Linked DNA regions of Mus musculus. The main gene of each other region encodes a partner of the protein of the gene in region 2 in a complex. Links are inferred from orthologs where the notes say so. Each region holds a gene or a part of one and is shown on either strand. Other genes may lie near its edges.

Region 1 (3,747 bases), on a different chromosome or scaffold from region 2:
GCAATTTTCTTCCAAGAATGGAGAGAAGGAAAGAAGAGCATTGTAACTCACAAATTACCTGAAGATTTCGCCTTAGAATTGTCACTGTGGTGGATGGCATTTATATAGAATATTTTTCTGTCTAAAAGTACAGTCTGCTTTCTACAAAAAAAAAAAAGGATTAAACTGAAGAGAGAGTTGATAGAATGGGGAGAAACAGAGAGAGGGGAGTTATGAGATAAAGGAGGGGGGATATTGCATCAGTAACAAATAACGAAACAAACAATGCAGCAAATATGTAATTAATTATGTAGTTAATTGGGGAGGTATTAATACAGCAATTCATAGTTTACCTTCTAACACATAACCTACTTGTGTTTTTATTTTATAAACATTATTTAAAATATCCAATGAAAGAGCAGCATATGTAACTTAGTCTCCCCTCAGTTACATATAATAAACTTTCAAGTAGGTAGGATATAAAACTACTCATTAGATCTAATTTTCTTCCTTTTATACTGACTTTCCCCTTTTCTTTGTATGTTTCGTCGTCACATTACATTATTATATCCAATTTTCTTTTGCCTGTTTCCCTTCCTATTTTAGTACATGCTATGTAAATTCTCTATGAGTTTTGAGACAACGAAGCCTGTTCTCAGAAGTTTGTGTTACTAGAAAATATACCCCAAGTCTTTAAGACTTCCAAGCAGTGATTTCTCCCTAGAACTTTTGCTTAAATATGAGAAATTACCAAAAAAAAAAAAAAAAACCCTTGCATTTTAAAAAATGAAAATGACAACTATCTGGAATGGGGGCATGATAGAAAATTAGGGGGAAAAAGGTACCAGAAGTACCTCTCACTATGCTGTATATGGCAGTGATTTTGAACAACTCTTTCTGTGAGTCAGAAATCCTGAGCAACAGCTGCAATTAGGGAAGATCGTCACTTTCCATCAAGGTTCACGGGTGGGGGATGAGATAAGGGACAAAGGGAAAGGAGGGGGGATGGAGATGAAGGCAGAGCACATCCTGTGTAGCCATGACATCATCCTCCTGCTCACATATATATAGGGACTGGCCACAGCATCCCTCACAGTTCACTCACTTTGAAAGCCAGCTGAAGGCAAGAGGAAGCACCGAGAGAGAGCTAGCTCCTTCAGTGTCTGAGTGTGTGGACCTGCTTGTCAGAAGGCTGAGAGAAGATGAGAGGAATGAATCTCCAGCTGGTGTGCCTGACTCTCCTGGCTTTCAGCTCCTGGAGTCTGTGCTCAGGTAAGCTCAACTGCATCTCACAACTCCCTGAAGTGAGGGATTTCTCTCGCAGTCTGCTGCTACTCAGGTAAATGAATCCAGGAATCTCTCTCTCTCTCTCTCTCTCTCTCTCTCTCTCTTTCTCTCTCTCTCTCTCCCTTCCTCCCTCCCACCCTCCCTCCTCCCCCTTTGTCTCTGTCTCTCGGTGTCTCTCTTTTCTCTCCTCTCTCTCTGTCTCTCCTCTCTGTCTCTGTGTCTCTCTATCTTAGTATCTCTGTCTCTCTCTGTCTCCCTCTCTCTCTCTCTTTTAGTGAAAGAAAAACTGTAATTATCATGTTTCTCTCCCATTCTGATTATAAGAACTGAAATATATATTTTTTTAAATCTGTAAAGCAGTTCATGGTGCAAGGAAATGCAACACGTTCTCCTTTGGAATATGACCACTAAAGGGAAAATCAATATGAGTAATAAGACAAGGGTGGAAATTTGAATAGAGGCAGTGCTTGTCAGCCTGCAGACAAGTAAAGATCTCCTTCGCGAGATCTTATTCTCATCTCTTCTCATTGTCTTAGGTGGTGGCTTCTCTCACTTTCCTTTGTGATTTTCCTCAAAATATTTTTAACTCTGTAGGTGTGTTAGAACATGTGGAACAAATAGCAATAAATAAGATGAGTGCCTCTAATACAGCAAAAGTGTCCCAAGTCCTTTGTGAAAGTGCATCTTTATAGAATTTCATTGTGGCAGTCATGGTGTTAATATAGCTGTTGCTTTTCTGAATGTAATTTGAGTTGGCACAACCTATAACCATAAAACTGGTATACTACTATGTATGATAAATTTAGCGTTAGAGTGTTCAGTATATAACAGTAAAGGAGAAGGGATGTATTCTCATTAGGTGTGTATTGCCTCTCCTTAAAAATAAAGTAAATTTAAGTGTAATATGAAATATTTTGACGATTGCAGTATATTTTAATTAATAATTTGAAAGTAATTGAACAAACACATAGCAGTGGAAAATCTTAGAGAGTGAAGTAAATTCACTTATATTTGTTACTATTGTACTTAATAACCAGGATTCGGCAGTGTTAGCTCAAACTAAGATTTTCTGAGTGCAAAGATAACTATCAGAATGGATTGATGATTTTATTAGTGTAAGATCCTGTAAATATTTTATGAGCCAATGCAGTATTCTCATAATTATAATATTATCAAGTAGTTGCAGAAAAATAGTTATAGATTCTAAAAATAGCTTATTTATTAAAAACCATATATTAACTCTTGAAACCAATTTCTGTGACATGGACACATCTTTATCAGTGATTAATAAGATTAATCTTAACATTCCATCTGAAAAACAAACAAGCTAGCATGTATGTGTAACAAACTGAGCAAAAGTGTCTCTGGAATAGCTCACCTCTTACGTATACTTTATCAGTTGCTCACATCAGGTGGAATCCTGTGTTTTAATGACCACAGAGTAAAGAGTGAGGCAATTTTAAGCTCTGCCTTCTATTATCACAAGAGGCTAATGGATATTAAATGCTCTACAACATCTTAGTATTTCTAAATTTCACTTCTTCATGCAATACACATAAATGGAATCTGGGGAAAATGTGTTCTGAGATGAATCACGGATCTGTTTGCAGCAGGACTTACCATGTGTTGATGAGCTCTGACTTTGCTTAAGCCATTTCTGCACTCGCTGACGGAACACTGAAAGCACGGGATGCAAACCTCTTGTGTAAAACAGAAACCGATTCTTTCAAAGAGTGTTTCACAAGATGACATGTGTAGTGAAGTGAATCTCAGTGTCTTTTTTATTCTAAAATTACCAGTGAGTAATTCCCTGTGGCTTTGCCCCAAAATAAGAAGCAGCACTTGTATTCATATTTCATTATGTTGTTTGTTACATACATATTTTCACGTGTGAACTATTGCCGGTGAGAATAACATAGTGCAGGTTTTTTTTTTTTGGATAAGATCTGCCTTGTACAATATAATTAAGTGTTTTACTGAGATCCAGTTAATAGGCAATTCAAAATCATAAATACTTATCAAATTAAGATGCGCTTATTTTCTTAGAAGTGATTCTACTATAGAAGCTGTCAGCATAAAATTAAGCTGTGATATGTTTCTTTTTGAATATTGCTTTGAAGAAATTAAATACAGAAGACAATAAGCTTCAAAGATGAATCCTTTAAAATAATTTGAGATATGGTGGTTGCAATATAATTATATGAAGTGTGATTACATAGTAAGCGTGTGGTTTTAATTTTATTCAGATTCAGAAGAAGATGTGAGAGCCCTGGAGGCAGATCTATTGACAAACATGCATACATCCAAGGTAACTAATTTCTTTGCTTTAACCCGAGGTAGGAGGGTGTATGAATATTCATTCTAAACTTCAGATTAGTTTCTAATATCAATCAAAACAGGTACAGTTACCTACCTCAAAGCTGTCAAGGTCTTTGGGAGACATTTCTTATTCGATAGATTTATTTACTCCTGCTTCTAAGG
Region 2 (3,747 bases):
CTTGGAGGAAGAAGCCTGTTGCCTCAAAGGAAGCAAGGAGCCATTTGAATCCTACTGCTTGTCACGTGGAACACCCAACGAATGTGCACTTGCCTAAATGCAGAGGACCTTGTTAGAAACATTGGGCACTGACTCAGTCCCCCTGAGGAGTGGCAGCTCAGGGGGGACCTCACACAGGGACACTTATCCCCATGGCCCACCTCAGAGATGCACTGTTGAGTTGCCTGGCATCGGAATGTGGGTTACAACTGACCCAGCATTTCTGGTGTCTGGGTGTTGCCTGGACATACCATGTGACCACAGAATCTCACTGTGAGGATCTGGGAGTCTATAGATGGCTTGGTGAAGAAAGAAACAGACAGATGGCACAGCCAGCTTCCCTGGAGGACCCTCTAACATGGCAGGAGCCCTCAGCCAGATCCTCTCATTTGCTGCTTTTCTTGACCACCCTGTGGTGAAAGAGAACCCTCCCTGTATTTCTACAGTTGCCCAGGATCTACAGCCAAGAAATTATTCTAAACTTCCTTCCCCCTGCCCTCCCCCCCCCCCCCCGCCTCCTTCCTGGTTGTTGTTCTTACTTTCCAGCTTGCCTCAAACTTGTAATCCTCCTGCCTCAGCCTCTGGAGTATTGGCACAATCAACCATGCCTGGCTTAAAATGTCACTTCTGCTCTGGCTGCCCCTGTGGATGCCCCCTTCCCACCTCAAGGTCTGCTCCTGATGAGCTTTCTGCCATGTTGAGTTACTCTGCTGGTAACTTCCGAGGAGGGCTCCCATCTGGTCCCCTGGTGCTACGCTCAGACCGCAGAGGACTGTAGTCTATCATCCCAATCTTTTTTTCTTTACCTCGTCATACCAAAGACACTTCAGATTGCTCTGCAGAAACAGCACTAACAGCAGCAAGGGCCTGGAGTGCTTCAGACTGGGGGCCTGCAAACCCCTCTCTGAGCCCTCCTGACCATGTTTTGATCACCTCCCTTCACAGACAGGGAAAGTGTAACTCAACTGGGAACAATTCCAAGATTAAAGCTCCAGCTCTTGGATTTGGGTCCAGGAGAGGCAGCCAGAAGGCCTTGGGGACTCAGCCTGGGAAGTCAGGGATTCCTGATGGCTGATGGCAACCTTCTTCCCTGAGAGTATCCTCGGGCTTACAGTAAACAGAAGTCACTGATTGGGGCTCAAGCCCCCTTCAACAGGAGGGGAGGAAGCAGGGAGGGGCATGCAACTGGGAGTGAAAAGTTGAGGAGGAGTTGATGGCTATGCCCCGCCCCTTCCCAACCTCCTAAGAGGAGCCTTGCTGAGCGCTCTCCATATGTTGCTCAGTATGATGTCACTGGGGCCTACTTTGGGACAAGGGAGAAGAATAAAGTGCTTCTGAGGCACAGTTCTTTCCACAAGGCAACACGGCTGTGTCTCTCCCCAGGTGGTGCCTTGAATCACCGGGACTTCTGAGGTGACACTGCTAAAAGTCTCTGTGTGGCTCCAATAGAAAGAAACAGCCAGACGGGAAACCAGCTGCCCTGGTGTGCCCTCTAATGTGCCACAGCTCAGAGAGTCCCCTTTTAGATGTTCTTACCTGGATGACGACCTTGACGGTGGCTGTGTCCACCGTGGGTGTGCACACCAGGCCACCAGGGTGCTGGCCATCGGCACTGCGGTTCTGCAGGCCCATGGTGAAAAGCATGGGTACAGCCAGCAGCGCCGAGGCTAGCCATATGGCACTGATGAATTTCTTGGTGCGGCTGCGGGACATGAGGGTCTTGGCCTTGAAGGGATGGCAGATGGCCAAGTAGCGCTCCACACTCAGGCTGGCTACATTGAGGGCTGTGGCATAGGTGCAGGCATCTCGCAGGAAATAGTAGCCACGGCAGCCAGCATCCCCAAAGGCCCAGGGATGGTGCACCCAGATGAAGTTGTACAGCTCCACGGGCATGGCCAGCAGCAGGATGAGCAGGTCAGACAGTGCCAGGCTACCCAGGTGGTAATGCACAGTGCTCTGCAGGCTCTGCAGCGACTTCTTCCGCGCTAGAGTGAAGGCTGTCACCGAGTTGCCCACAGTGCCCACCACAAAAAGTGCCAGGTATACAGCGGTCACCAGCACCTTGGAATAAATGTCAGTGTTCACGTCCAGGTTGCTGTTGGGCTCCAGGATGGATTCTGAGGAATTGCCAGAACCATTGCTCAAGCTGAGCGCCAGGAGCATCGTCTCCAGTCCGAACTGTGGATGTGGGAAGGGCTGGGCACCGGGTTCACTTGGGGCTCCCTGCTGCACGGAGCTGTTGAGGTGCATGGTGGGCGCCAGATATGCGGCTTTGTCCTGCACCTTTGAAGGTGAAAGTCCCTCCAGGGGCAGATGAGGAGGCGCTCAGAGGAGAGGGTGTGGAAGCTAAGGGGGGCGTGCCGTCCGGCGGCGAAGCCAGCTATCCAGGAGATCCTGGGAGCTCTGGGGCTCGAGACGTGCCGGCTCAGGGATCCACTCTTCTTTCTCCTTCAGAGTCTGGGATCTGCTTTCCGGTTCTTCCTCGGCACCCCCCCTGGCTCCGAGCCTGCCTAGATCGGGGCTGCTACCGACCTCCAGATTCTGTGGTTGGTTCTCTGCACTCCTGGGTGGCAGCGATGTCCTCAGGACCGCGACCCTGCTGGCTTGTGCTTCGTTGGGCGAGCCTGTGGCGCAGAGAGGAGCGCACGCACGGCTGCCCAGCGTGCTCACCCTCGTTCTCCCTCTTCTGCTTGGAGCTCTTCCCGCACCCGACTTCGCACACCTCCTGCTGCGCCGGAGCCTGCCGGGCTCCTCGCGCTTCCACTGAGCTGGCGGCTGCGCGGCGCGCCCAGCAGTGGAGGAGGGTGGGTGTTGGAGAGTCAGAGACGCCACAGCCACTGTCCCCTCCCCACCCGGATACTGGCTGACGGTTGCTCCTGCACGCTCCCGGGGACCACCTGGGCTAGGATGAGTACCCCAGGAAGCAGAATTCCCTACCAGGCGAGGGAGAATGAGGGGATATTGGATCTTTCCTTTCAACCTCTCCTGGGCAGCACGATCTTTCTTTCACGATCGTTGGTCCCAACTTCTCCCACCCCAAAAAGAAAGCTCCCCGTAGCCGTCTTCAGCTCCCTTAGTGACACGAGGGTGTACTCGAGGGGAAGGCGGAGAAGGAGGCGGCACCCTGCTGATAAGTCAGGGCCTTTGTACAACTGCCTCGACCTCCTCCCTTCTGGGTGCCTGTGGGGTGCCAGAAGCACCCAGGGGGGCCCTCTAGCCTGTGAAGGGTCTGGTGAAGGAAAGCATAGAGCAGGAAGTTAGAGCAGCCCATCTCTCCACGCAGTCTCACGGTCTTAGCTGCCTTTGGGTATGATGGGACCTTCTGCCCTCCTGTAGCCACCTGGATTTGGTCACTAGCAGTGACTCTCAGAGCTGGTGCCCTGTCGTTTCAGAGGGGAAGGGCAGGTTTGTGGGCGACACAGAGCTGCGTCTGTCCTTGCAGGAAACCCTGAAGCCTGTGCACTCAGCCCAGCACAGCTTTTCTCAGGGGACCCTGCCCCAGTCAGGGACCCGGGGAACAAAGGTCTTTTCATCTTGTCCTCTTTGGCAGGGGCCCTGGCCAGAGCTTCCAGGCTTGCTGCCATCTTGCTTGCCCCAGGGCCCTTGCCTCTATTTCCCCACTTGGCTCTCTCAGCCTTTCTCCTGCCCTCTTCCTCCAGAAAACTCCTCCCTGGATCCTGGAGAGTCCCAGGGCAGGAGGGAAGGAAG

The links. The genes of interacting proteins can lie anywhere in the genome.
Region 1: the proteins of Ntsr1 (region 2) and Nts are in contact, whole or in part, in a crystal structure (PDB 4BUO), measured with the Rattus norvegicus proteins. The link is inferred for Mus musculus from reciprocal best matches to the Homo sapiens genes NTSR1 and NTS. Residues at the interface, in NP_001102437.1 of Rattus norvegicus: Ser53, Asp54, Leu55, Asp56, Asn58, Phe128, His132, His133, Tyr146, Met208, Val224, Cys225, Thr226, Pro227, Ile238, Arg327, Arg328, Phe331, Cys332, Tyr333, Ile334, Ser335, Asp336, Trp339, Phe344, Tyr347, His348, Tyr351; in NP_001095851.1 of Rattus norvegicus: Arg157, Arg158, Pro159, Tyr160, Ile161, Leu162.

What each region holds. Positions count from the first base shown.
Region 1 is NC_000076.6:102,487,758-102,491,504, reverse strand, and holds the start of Nts (neurotensin/neuromedin N precursor), read left to right. Parts: upstream 1-1,086; 5' UTR 1,087-1,181; coding exon 1,182-1,251; exon of another isoform or gene 1,252-1,318; intron 1,319-3,512; coding exon 3,513-3,574; intron 3,575-3,747. UniProt on the Homo sapiens protein: Neurotensin may play an endocrine or paracrine role in the regulation of fat metabolism. It causes contraction of smooth muscle.
Region 2 is NC_000068.7:180,498,960-180,502,706, reverse strand, and holds the start of Ntsr1 (neurotensin receptor type 1), read right to left. Parts: upstream 2,732-3,747; 5' UTR 2,290-2,731; coding exon 1,576-2,289; intron 1-1,575. UniProt on the Homo sapiens protein: G-protein coupled receptor for the tridecapeptide neurotensin (NTS). Signaling is effected via G proteins that activate a phosphatidylinositol-calcium second messenger system.